3 linked regions of the Sus scrofa genome follow. The protein of the gene in region 1 binds, or shares a complex with, the protein of each later gene. Links are inferred from orthologs where the notes say so. Each region holds a gene or a part of one and is shown in the gene's direction. Other genes may lie near its edges.

Evidence for each region. The genes of interacting proteins can lie anywhere in the genome.
Region 2: CENPA (region 1) and CENPC share a complex: the UniProt entries of both Homo sapiens proteins name them as parts of the CENPA-NAC complex. The link is inferred for Sus scrofa from reciprocal best matches to the Homo sapiens genes CENPA and CENPC.
Region 3: the proteins of CENPA (region 1) and HJURP are in contact, whole or in part, in a crystal structure (PDB 3R45), measured with the Homo sapiens proteins. The link is inferred for Sus scrofa from reciprocal best matches to the Homo sapiens genes CENPA and HJURP. Residues at the interface, in NP_001800.1 of Homo sapiens: Lys64, Leu65, Ser68, Arg69, Arg72, Asp83, Phe84, Asn85, Trp86, Gln87, Ala88, Gln89, Leu91, Leu92, Ala93, Glu96, Ala97, Ala100, Phe101, His104, Glu107, Asp108, Leu111, Leu112, Leu114, His115, Ile132, Glu136; in NP_060880.3 of Homo sapiens: Glu14, Asp15, Leu18, Lys21, Leu22, Ser25, Arg26, Arg28, Phe29, Arg32, Met33, Leu36, Lys39, Tyr40, Pro43, Phe44, Thr47, Pro48, Val49, Val50, Gln51, Met52, Ala53, Thr54, Leu55, Ile65, Trp66, Gly67.

What each region holds. Positions count from the first base shown.
Region 1 is NC_010445.4:112,263,412-112,266,580, reverse strand, and holds the end of CENPA (histone H3-like centromeric protein A), read left to right. Parts: intron 1-420; coding exon 421-498; intron 499-922; coding exon 923-1,057; 3' UTR 1,058-2,669; downstream 2,670-3,169. UniProt on the Homo sapiens protein: Histone H3-like nucleosomal protein that is specifically found in centromeric nucleosomes. Replaces conventional H3 in the nucleosome core of centromeric chromatin that serves as an assembly site for the inner kinetochore.
Region 2 is NC_010450.4:65,312,944-65,317,260, reverse strand, and holds the start of CENPC (centromere protein C), read left to right. Parts: upstream 1-1,472; 5' UTR 1,473-1,766; coding exon 1,767-1,784; intron 1,785-4,317. UniProt on the Homo sapiens protein: Component of the CENPA-NAC (nucleosome-associated) complex, a complex that plays a central role in assembly of kinetochore proteins, mitotic progression and chromosome segregation.
Region 3 is NC_010457.5:134,120,319-134,124,510, reverse strand, and holds the start of HJURP (Holliday junction recognition protein), read left to right. Parts: upstream 1-1,347; 5' UTR 1,348-1,411; coding exon 1,412-1,507; intron 1,508-1,684; coding exon 1,685-1,751; intron 1,752-4,192. UniProt on the Homo sapiens protein: Centromeric protein that plays a central role in the incorporation and maintenance of histone H3-like variant CENPA at centromeres.

The sequences.
Region 1 (3,169 bases):
CCACCTTTGACATTATGTTCTTTGGGGTTTTTATTTCTTTAATTTTTTTTTTATTACCCAATGAATTCATTACATTTATAGTTGTACGATGACATCACAATCCAGTTTTATAGAGACATTATGTCCTTTGATTATGCAAACCCGAACCCTCTCATCCAGCCACCCTTTCATCCCTTGCCCCGCCCTGGGACATGGTCTCCTCCGCTCCACCCCCCACAAGAAGAGACGTGCCATCTCCAGGCTCCCTGGACTTGACCCCAGCCACTAGTCAGGTCCTCGGACGAAGGGCCGGGGAGGAAAAGCGGAAACGGAGATTCCTGGAGACTCACGGAGAGAGGCTGTCCTCTCTTGAATCTCCCTTTCCTCTCTGCTCCTCCCCGCTCCCCTTCTCGCTTGCTCGCCATCCCCCGTCTTTCCCAGGCACGAGAAATATGTGTTCAGTTCACTCGTGGTGTGGATTTCAATTGGCAAGCCCAGGCCCTGCTGGCCCTACAAGAGGTGAGAAGGGGGCCCAGGTCCAGTTGGGTGAGGGGTGCATGTGGGAGAAAGGTAGCGCTGAATCTCACCTCCTTTATTTTTTATTTTATTTTATTTATGTATTATTTATTTATTTTGGCCCCGCTTGCAGCATGTGGAAGTTCCTAAGTCCCGGGCCAGGGATCGAACCCAAACCACAGCAGTGACCCAGGCTGCTGCAGTGACAACACCAGCTCCTTCACCCGCTGCGCCACAAAGGAACGCCTCACCTCCTAGCAAAGAGCAACAGGGAACACCCAGGGGGTTGAAGGGTGGATTCATGCTGGCTGGCGAACAGTCTCTCCCATGTCCTTTGAGCCCTTAGAGACTCAGTTAGCAGGTGCCCCCTGCCCGCCTCCATCCCCCTGGTCTGTGTCAGCCTTTCTACCTCTCTCTCTGTCCCCAGGCGGCAGAAGCGTTTCTCGTTCATCTCTTTGAGGACGCCTACCTCCTCTCCCTGCACGCCGGCCGCGTGACTCTCTTCCCCAAGGACATCCAGCTGGCCAGGAGGATCCGGGGCATTCAGGAAGGGCTCGGCTGAGCTCCCGCCGCCGGTGTCGCTGGAAGCCTCCCCTGCCCCCCCAGAGAATGAGTGCACTTGGGGGAAAACCACCCAGCCTCCCATCACCTCTGAAGGAATTTGCCTTCTCCATCCTTGGTCCTTTGCTGCCCCGCCTGCCCTTTGTTCTCTGGAAAAGATCCGACTAAGTTTTAACTTGAGTGCCTGGGATTCTTTTGAACAATGTTCTCCTTGACTTTATGACCAGACAACGTGCATCTCTGCCAGAGGAGTCCTCTCCACTTCACAAAGACCAGATGACCTCATTTGGATTAAAAGAAAGTTGTTTTTTTTTAATGCCTTGTTAATAAATGTGATTCCTGAATTTCAGAGATGATACCCAGGACTCTGCCCGTTGCAGGACCAGATCCGCGGAGGACGTGTGAGGTGCCGTCTGGACTTGCCGTCCCAGAGCTGTGTGCACGCATTGCTTTTGTAATTCGTTTTTTTTAAGGTGGAGAAGACCGTATGGCTTTCCTCTGTAACCGAGGTGATGTATGAGAGAATCAACACATTCCACAAGCCCTGAGAAAAATTTTTCAGATGAAGAGACTCCAAGGTTGATGTCACTTTGAAAATTATTCATGTGACTGTTGGATGCTTTTGAAGACATCAGGTGTTCTAGGTTATGGGAGAAAAGAATATTTATTGATTATTTTAGATCTTTCTGTACCATGTAATTTTTTTTTTTTTTAACCATATGTCTATTTACATTTATTTAAAACACAAGGGAAAAGTTAAAAGAAGACCACCTCAGGCAGTTGCATGGAAGAGCCTGACTCAGGTAGCATACAACTTTCTGTCCTTCAGATTGATTTCATCCTTAGTGGCAGCAGCCACTTCCTCTGTGCACTGTGCCTGTCACCAGATCGTAGCTTTTCAAAAAACTCAATGGGACGAAAATAGAAAATCGTTCAGGTTTGATGTCCTGGCTCCTTCTGGTAAATTCCTATCAAAATCATTCAGAAATTCGCACTCGTGGAATTTTATTCTCCTTTGAAAAATCAGAGAAGATGTATCATAGTTTATACGTTAGAATGTTTCATTCCAGGATTTTAAAGTGCCTTTGCGATGTTTTTACAGGTATTTTTTTATAAATTCTTTGTGGAGAGAGAATAATAATAAAAGCAATTTTTTAATGAGAAAAATTGAAGCGGTGCTACTGTTTTACAGCGATTGTACTGTGTTCTCTTGTGGTAGCGCTGACTTATTCGCCTGGACACTGTTTGCCAACGGCTGCAATTTAAACAAGAGAACTGGGGGCGGGGGTGCTTTTGGCCTCCACTGGCCCAGAGTATGAGCAGATTAAAAACCTGGCCTTTCTGTTGTGACTGAAAGCGGTTTAAGAGATTTCCAGGGACATGGAAGTACCAGCCAAGAAAGACTTTTAGATTTTTGTGGATTTTGCGTGTGGTAAAAATGATTCGTGAGGGGCAGATACCAGCAATCCAGCGATCATGTGTCATTCAACGAAAGGGAACCACTGGATTCTGTTGTTTGGTAAATTTTAACCCTTTGGAAAAACCTTTTCCCATTCAACCTCAACTCACTTCGATGTAGACATTTGAATAAAGCTTCTCTGTCTATGAATATATTTAATGTCAGAGGGTTATTAATCAGAAGATTATTCTCTTCCTCTAGTTTTCTTTCTTTCTTTCTCTCTTTTGTGCTGTTTAGGGTGGCTGGTATATGGAGGTTTCCGGGCTGGGGTCAAATCGGAGCTGCAGCTGCCGGCCACAGCCACAGCCACAACCACACCAGAAGTGAGCCACATCTGGGACCCACACAGCCCAAAGCAACTCTGGATCCTTAACCCACTGAGCAAGGCCAGGGATCAAACCACATTCTCATGGATCCTAGTCATATTTGTAACCCACTGAGCCACAACGGGAACCCCCTAGTTTTCTTTAAATTGACGCTTCTCTGTTTTCTTAAAATTGTATTAACCAGGACAGCCCTGCAGCACATGGTCACGTGTCACATTCAGATGCAGGCAGGATTTATGCTCTCAGCACCTCGAGTATCCGGTAACATGAGAATAAGTGATTCACAGGGTGACTGTGTTGTTTGCTGTTGCGGTTGACTAAACAGCAC
Region 2 (4,317 bases), on another chromosome or scaffold:
GTATTTTTCTTTTTCTTGGATTAAACACCCAGGAGTGGAATTGCTCATATGGTAGTTCTATTTTTAATTTTTTGAGGGGTCTCCATACTGTTTTCCACAGTGGCTGCACCAAGATACATTCTCACCAATGGTGCACAAGGGCTCCCTTTTCTTCACATCTTTGCCAATTTTTTATTATTATCTTCTTGATAGTAGCCATTTTGACATGTGTGATTTCTCCATATTATTTCAATTTTCATTTCCCTGATGATTAGTGATGCTGAGCATCTTTTCATGTGCCTACTAGCCATCTATATGTTTTCTCTGGAAAAATGTCTATTCAGATCTTTCACTATTTTTTTTAATCTTTTTTTTTTTTTGATGTTGAGTTGTGTGAGTTCTTTGTATATTTTGGATATTTACCCCTTACTGAATATATTGCTTGCAAATCTCTTCTTCCATACAATAAGTGGCCTTTTCATTTGTTGATAATTTCCTTCGCTGTGCCAAAGCTTTTTTGCCTGATATAGTCCCACTTTTTATTTTTGCGTTTATTCCCTCACCTAAGGAGAAGGTAATGTATTTTTTGATTAAAATTCCCTTGCAAATTTTTATTAAATCATAAAAGTAGGACATAGTTTCACAGAATCATCAAACAGGTCAAGTCTTCAGAACATCTAACTTAACTCTCGCATCATGTAACTAATGAAACAGCCAGAACAGGGTCTGAGCTTGTCCTAGATGACATTGCTAATCCAGGTTTCAAGACTCTTGATTTAGGGTTCCTTTCAGGACATTATGCTTAAATGATAACACTTACATAGACCATTTTGTTGCCAATGCCTCACAAAAACATTACCCACATTTTTTTTTTTTTTTTTTTTTTTTTTGTCTTTTTGCTATTTCTTGGGCCGCTCCCGCGGCATATGGAGGTTCCCAGGCTACGGGTCTAATTGGAGCTGTGGTCTCCGGCCTACGCCAGAGCCACAGCAAGGAGAGATTCGAGCCGCATCTTCAACCTACACCACAGCTCACGGCAACGCCGGATCGTTAACCCACTGAGCAAGGGCAGGGACCGAACCCGCAACCTCATGGTTCCTAGTCGGAGTCGTTAACCACTGCGCCACGACGGGAACTCCTACCCACATATTTGAAAAAATATGTGATCCATCATCATTATACTATTGTTCGTTTCAGAGAAGATGCAAAATGAGCTGGGTGTGGCTGACGAGACTTAGTAGTAAACTACTTCTGCACGTTGGAGCAGGGGCAGGTGCGGGGAGAGAGAGAGAGAGAGACAGAGACAGAGAGAGACAGAGAGACAGAGAGAGAGAGACAGAGAGAGAGAGAGACAGAGACAGAGAGAGACAGAGAGAGACAGAGAGAGAGAGAGAGAGGAGAGAGAGAGAAGCTTGCCTACCGCGAGGATGGGGGCGGGGCTACGAGATGGGCGGGGCTGTTGGACGTAGGGAGGGCGGGGCTGCGAAAGCCGGACGCGCGAGTACAAGCGAGGGGGCGGGCCTCTAACGGCTTTCCTCCGGAGTCGAAGGGTCCGTTTTGCGCATGTGCAGTCCGTTTTAAATTGCGTAAGGCGCCGGGTGCGGCTGGGCGAGCTCCTGAGGCCGCGGCTTTTCGCCTTCCGTGTCTTCCGCCGCCTTTGGCTGTCCGGCGCTGCTGGGTTCCCGCCTGGCTCCTGCGCTGGTTACTCGGTCTTTGCTGGGCTGCCCTGAGCTGCGGCCGTGTGGACTTCCTCCCCAAAGCCCTGCGCGGGCGGAACCGGCCGCAACATGGCTGCGTGGGGGCTGGTAAGTGCAGGCCTCGGGCGTTCGCGCCGAGGCCGAGGAGCGCGAAGCCGCAGGCGGAGTTTAGGGCTCCGGGGGTACTGCAGTGGGAAAGACGCGGGAGCTCTTCAGAGGCCGAGTGACCGGTGGTATTGTTTCCGCAAGACTTCTTGTAATCCCAATGTGAGGGCCTCTTTCTTGGGAGAATCTTGTGATTGCTCCTTTTGAGCCTCATTCCATCTCTTAGACAGCCAAGAATTTTCTGTTCATGGAAGTATTGAACCGCCTCAAAAATGTGCCTTAGCTGCAGACTTGCTGGGCTAGAGAAGCAGGCGTCAGCTGTGGACAAAGTTTTCAGAGGGGCAGCCCTAGTTAAAAGTGCAGAAGCTTGTGAATGGCTGGAGGGGGGCGGGAACTCATTTTATCGTGTACGTGTTTCTGGACTCTCAGCTTCGCTTATGGTTGCTATACCTTATACAACCCGTATCAACCCCTATCCTAAACTTGTATTTTCTACTTGATCTCCCTTTTAAGAAAATCTTCAACACTGGTGAACTGACGTGTGTAATAAAGTTAGATACGTATGCTTGTGAGTATAAAGAGGTGTCCACAAAACATATTGCGGGCCATTTCCGTAAACAATGAATATTGCCCATCTTTAAGCTAGCAGCTAGTGCAGCAACCACCCCCCACCCCCTTGTGGCTCTGTGGTAACGAACCCGACTAGGATCCATGAGGATGCGGGTTCCATCCCTGGCCTAGCTCAGTGGGTTAAGGATCTAGGGATGCCGAGAGCTGTGGTGTAGGTCGCAGCGGGGCTCAGATCCAATGTTGCTGTGACTGCGGTGTAGGCCGGCAGCTGTGATTCAACCCTAACCTGGGAACTTTCATATGCGCGGGTGCGCCCCTAAAAGGCCAAAAAAAAAAAAAAAAAAAAAAAAAATTGAGAACGAGGAGTTAGAGATTATCCTCATTCATTCCTGTACTTTAAGGTTTCTAACTGGGTGTGATTTTGCCCTGTAGGAGACATTCGGTGATATCAGGAAAAATTTCTGGTTGTCCTGAGAGGGCTTGCCAGGGACATGTGATGGTGGAGGTTAGGGAGGCTCTCCCAACAGAGGCATCCAGCTCCTAATGTCAGGAGTGCTGGGGTTCAGAGACCCTGCTGGGTCGTATATTATTTTCTTTGAGAAACATAATCTCACAGTGAATGAAACTAAAATTGAAAATTGAGTGAAAAATAAGTTGTAATTGGCAGCTTTTGAGTGTGTACTGATTTTGAAAGTTAAAACATTTTGTGTCCTGACTTTTAGAATTAGGAGACCTCCTTTGTCTTGTTCACCACTTGTTTTCTAGTGTGCCTAAATAGCATTTGGCCCTGTGGTAGGTGCTTGATTCCTATTTGCCCAGTGAAAGAACTGTCTTACCCTTGAATTTTTTCTATTTAAAATTAAGAGGAATTTAATACTTTACAGGTGTTATTTAATGTTCAAAAACATCCAGTGTGCAAGTTTGATAACTCTTATTTTATTGTGTGACACTAGAAGAGTGACTTAAATTAGGCAAGGTAGTTAGCTAAATGTTCTCAGGAGTTTACTTAAGTATTTTATTTTAAATTGCTGAGTACTGATAAGAGACGTAAGTGCTTGAGTTGTTTCCATCAAATGACTTATGATAAAATGCAGACTTAGATGTCTTTGTTCCTTAGTTTGCTACCTGTAAAATAGATTTAATCTTTTGCTCCTTAGGCACCTTGCAAAGATAACAGGCTGTGAGAAACACTCTTAAAGACATTTCTATCTCATAATTTATGGTCGTATTTATTTGGCATGTCAATAAGATAAAAAAAAATGGTGTTTTTGTGATACAATGCACTAGGCAGGATTTGGGAAGAATTAAACTAGTTTAAGACAAAGTCTCTGCTCTCACATTTTCTTTCTTTCTCTCTCTCTCTCTCTCTCTCTCTCCTCCTTTCCTTTCCTTTCCTTTCCTTCGTCTTTTTGCCATTTCTAGGGCCGCTCCCATGACATATGGAGGTTCCCAGGCTAGGGGTCTAATCGGAGCCATAGCCGCGGGCCTATGCCAGAGCCACAGCAACTCGGGATCCGAGCCTCGCCTGGGACTTATACCATAGCTCACGGCAACGCTAGATCCTTAACCCACTGAGCAAGGGCAGGGATCGAACCTACAACCTCATGGTTCCTAGTCGGATTCATTAACCACTGAGTCACGGTGGGAACGCCTCACATTTCTTAAAATATAATAGAGGTCTTCATCTTCCTGAATAATTCAATCCAAAAACCATTAGAGGCCAGGGAAGGTAGCAGCCCCGATAGGGAAGCCTTAGTAGAGGCAGGAGTTTGGCTCAGCTCAGGATGTCAGAGGAGCTGAGTAAAGACAATGGAGTAAAGAGAGGTTTTCACATGGGATGGGGTCATTTATATCCCGTTGGGCCAAGTGAAGGTGAAGCTTACTAAACATTTGATATTGGTAATAATACATTTTTTTTTTTTTTTTTAATGGCTGCAACCGTGGCATATGAAAGTGCCCAGGCTGG
Region 3 (4,192 bases), on another chromosome or scaffold:
AGCCCATCAGATTGTCCACTGACTGAAGTGGCCCAGCATTCAGTGATCTGGGCTGCCCTGGGGTTGCAGGACCTCGGGGGAGGGGCTCTCTACAACGGAGGCAATCTTTTATTTTTTTTCTTTTTACAGCCATAGGTGCAGCATATGCAAGTTCTCTGGCTGGGCTGCAGCTGCCAGCCTGAACCTAAATGCAGGCCTCACCCCATCAGCTGAGGCATATTTTGTGCCTCCACTAGTCAAGCAAGCCTGCTTCCTTTTTTTTTTTTTTTTTTTTTTTTTTTTTTTTGTCTTTTGTCCTTTTAGGGCCGCATCCGCCGCATATGGAGGTTCCCAGGCTAGGAGTCTAATCAGATCTATAGCCACCAGCCTACAGCAATCCCGAGCCACAGCAATCCAAGCCTACGCCACAGCCACGTGGGATCCGAGCCAGTGGGATTCGAGCCACGTCTGCGACCTACGCCACAGCCCACGGCAACACCGGATCCTTAACCCACTGAGCAAGGCCAGGGATTGAACCCGCAACCTCATGGTTCCTAGTTGGATTTGTTTCCGCTGCGCCAGGATGGGAATTCCCAAGTCTGCTTCCTTCTGATGGTCCTCTTGAGCAATTAACTTACAGTGGTTTCCCAAATTTCCCTGGATTTCCCTCTCTATGTGTGGTCTGTTATTGGGGCTTCTACAACTAACTATGGAGTATAACTATCCTACTCCATCCCTACGAATATTACAAAATTAATATCAATGGAGCAGAGTATGCAATATGTACGGAAAAGGTGCACCAGGTTAATAAAAAATACCACAGTGTATTTTCCTGAATCATGACGTTTACGCTATTTCTCCTTTCTAAATGCGTGTTCACTTTCATGCTCCTTTTTCTATTCTTTTCCATTGGCAAGTCCTTAGCGTCTTTCTGGGCCCCGGCTTTCTTAACTGAGCAAGGGGCCCAGAAGGGCGGGGAGAGGAAGCTGGCTCAGGGCGGGGCCAGACCCCACCTGTGGTAAGGGGCCACCCTCACCTGCCGCGAGTCCCAGAATAAGTCACCCGGACATCTCCGGTGCAAGACGGGGGACATCATACTCGTGTGGCACTGCTGAATAACAGGCACGCAAACGGCCGCAGGGGAGACCGCGTCACCCTTCTTCCAAAGCTTGGCAGCGCGCTCCCACCCCTCCTTTCCTCCCAGCGCGCGCGCTTCGGGCGGGGCGGGGCCAGAACCTCAACAACGGATTGGCCGAGAGAAAGGCGAGCGAACGTGTTTGAAAGGCCCAATCAGCGCCCGACCTTTCCAGTTTAGCCAATGGGAAACCTGAGGGGCGGGCCGGAAGGGCGGGAGTAGCTATTTGAACGGCAGCGCGGAGCCTGTCCCTTGCCCGGCTTACTGCAAGAGTTGGGTCCTGGGTAACGGCGCGCCATGGAGGGGGAGGTCTGCGGGGAGGACGAGCTCCTGCAGAAGCTCAGGGACAGCCGCCGCCGCTTTCAAAGGCGCATGCAGCAGCTGATAGAGAAGGTGCGGCCGTGGCGGGGCTAGGGGGTGGGTAGAGGAGGAGGGCGGGGGACGGGATGGGAGAAAGAGGCAGGGTTCAGGGCCCCCAGTTTTGCAGCCTCGCACTGCTGCCTTCTTAAGGAGAGTCAGGGGTTGCTCTCGGCCCTCCTATCTCACGAGATGCCCCTTCGTCTCCTACAGTACGACCAGCCCTTCGAGGACGGCCCGGTGGTGCAGATGTCCACGCTGACCTACGAGACGCCCCAAGGTACGAGTCAGGCCCCCTTTCTGAATATTTACGGTCCAGAGTGTAACTAGAATAATGTCTCACTAGAGTGTGAAATGCTGTCCCGTCTCTCTTGAAAATAAACTTTGTTCACCTAGTCGGTACTAAAACAAGTTCCCTTGAACCTATAAATTACTTAATTTACTTATTTCTAACAGAATTACTTATTAAAACAGAGTTCTGAAGACACCTAGATGCATCCTGGTTAAGAATGCCCCTGCCTAGGTTGGCATCCCAGCTGGCCACTTAATAGCCATTGCTTTAGCCAGGCTGTGACTGTTTCTTCATGAAAAGGTAATGACAGTCATGTCTACATGGCATGGATACTATGACAGTGACATGAGACGAAGCTCTTGGAACAGAGCCTGGCAATGGTAAACACTTGAATTGACTGTTATTTGACCTGTTTGACTTGAAGTTCTGAGCCCTTTGGAATTTGACCTAAATCCTGGAGGAGGGACCCATTCTGTTTGATGGCTGATGTGACAGCAGACTTAAATCTCATGGATTCTCTTTGGCAAACAGCTGGAGAAAGTCTGTGCTGAGCGAGGCCAGTTTCTGCTCTTCAGCCTTATTAGCGACTCACCTACTAATAAAAGTGACTCTCAGATGCTGAGACCTGGTTCTGCCATGCCCTGGACAGACAGGCACAAAACCGTAAATAAATGAAGTCCTAGCTCTGCTTTTTTTTTAGCTGACCCAGCTGTACCTTGGGTTAAAAGTTTATGCAGGCAGAAGCTAAGGTCTTCCACCGACAGGTCTCTGCTACTCTGGCCTGTGCCAGGTAGGAACAAATATAACCCAGGGCAGGACACAGGAGTGTGTCATAATCCTTCCTAACCATGCTGTCAGCAGGCTTCACTGTTCTCATGGCCTGTCTGTGCGAGGATGGGCGGTGTCTGGAATATTCTGGTCAAACCCCATATCTTGAACACCACTAGTTTCACCAGTGAAAACTCATCTCGGACTCCAGTTTGATGACAGCAGTAGTCAAAGCATCAGATACTTTAGCATGTGGAAAACCTCCTGGGAGATTATTGAAACAGATTCCTGGGGCCACGGGCCACGATGGCTGTGGACTCCACGTGGGTCTGTGTTCTAACACACTCCTAGCTGATGGGAGAGCAGCCCCCCAGACCTGTCAGTTCCCCTGGAGAGGTGCTCAGGGAGTGGCCTTTCTGATTAAATGCTCACTGACCACCTTTGCAGGGTGATTCCCAACTTAAGGCCACACCAGAGGGGGTAGATTGAAACTAAGGACCACACAGTTTAAGATGAAGACAGCAGGCCAATAATAGTCACTGATACATGTTGACAGCTAAGCGTGTGCCCACACGGCTAAGAGTCTCAGGTATCTCATTCTCAACAACCCTGCCAGGGAGCACAGTTGGCGGCGTCATCGTTTTTTCATAGCAGAGGATACAGTCAGAGAGGGGTCCCCAAACTTGCCCCGGGTCACTCAACCAATGTGGCAAAGCCTTTGTTCAAGCATCACTGTTCTGGAAAGGCTGCACAGCACAGTGGTCAGAAGCCCAGGGTTAAGTCCCCTGGGGTCACAGCCTTGGCTGCGCCTCGTGGGCAAGTGGCCTGGGCTGGTTACTTGACCTTCTCCTTTCCTCCTCTGTCTCCCGACAGTGAACTTGGTGAGTGCCTATCCCAGAGGCATTAGGAGTGCTGTGCTGTGTTGTGTGTGCGTTGTCGTGATGCTCAAGGAGGTGTCCTTGGACAGGGTGGGGACTAGAGCCTCGAACCCTGTAAGCACTTGTGGACATTTTTGCTGCTGTCATCATCCGCAACCATCTCAAGCCTCGCGACCCAGCGGTCCCTTCTTTGTTAACCTGAATTTACCTGGAAGCCCATGGAGGTTTAGGGAGAGACTGAGTATCTTGCCCAGATTCTGCTAGTGAGTCCGTGCAGGACTCCCAAACTCAGGGTTTACCCCATGCCTAGGGCTTGCTGTGTGTAGATTACCCTGAAAAATTACTTATTCTGAACTTGGGGTAAAGAGATTGCCTTCAAAAGGAGCTTTCTGATTGTTATGATCATTATACAACTACAGATGTGATAAATTCATTTGAGTAATAAAAAAATGGAAAAAAAAAAGAGCTTTCTTACTCTCTGAGGATATAATTGCCCTCAATATACGTATATTTTGAGGACAGTACTTGTCATACGGATGCTCCTTGTTTCCATTTATTTTGTGGCTCAGCACCAAATTCAACAAGCTTCCTGCTTGGTAGGAGAGGTTAATGACAGATTTTTTTGTTAACGACCAATTTTTGTCTAGTCTCGATTTAAAAAAGAAAAAGGGAGTTCCTGTCATGCCTCAGCGGAAACGAATCTGACTAGCATCCATGAGGACCCAGGTTCGATCCCTGGCCTCTCTCAGTGGGTTATGGATCCAGGGTTGCTGTGAGCTGTGG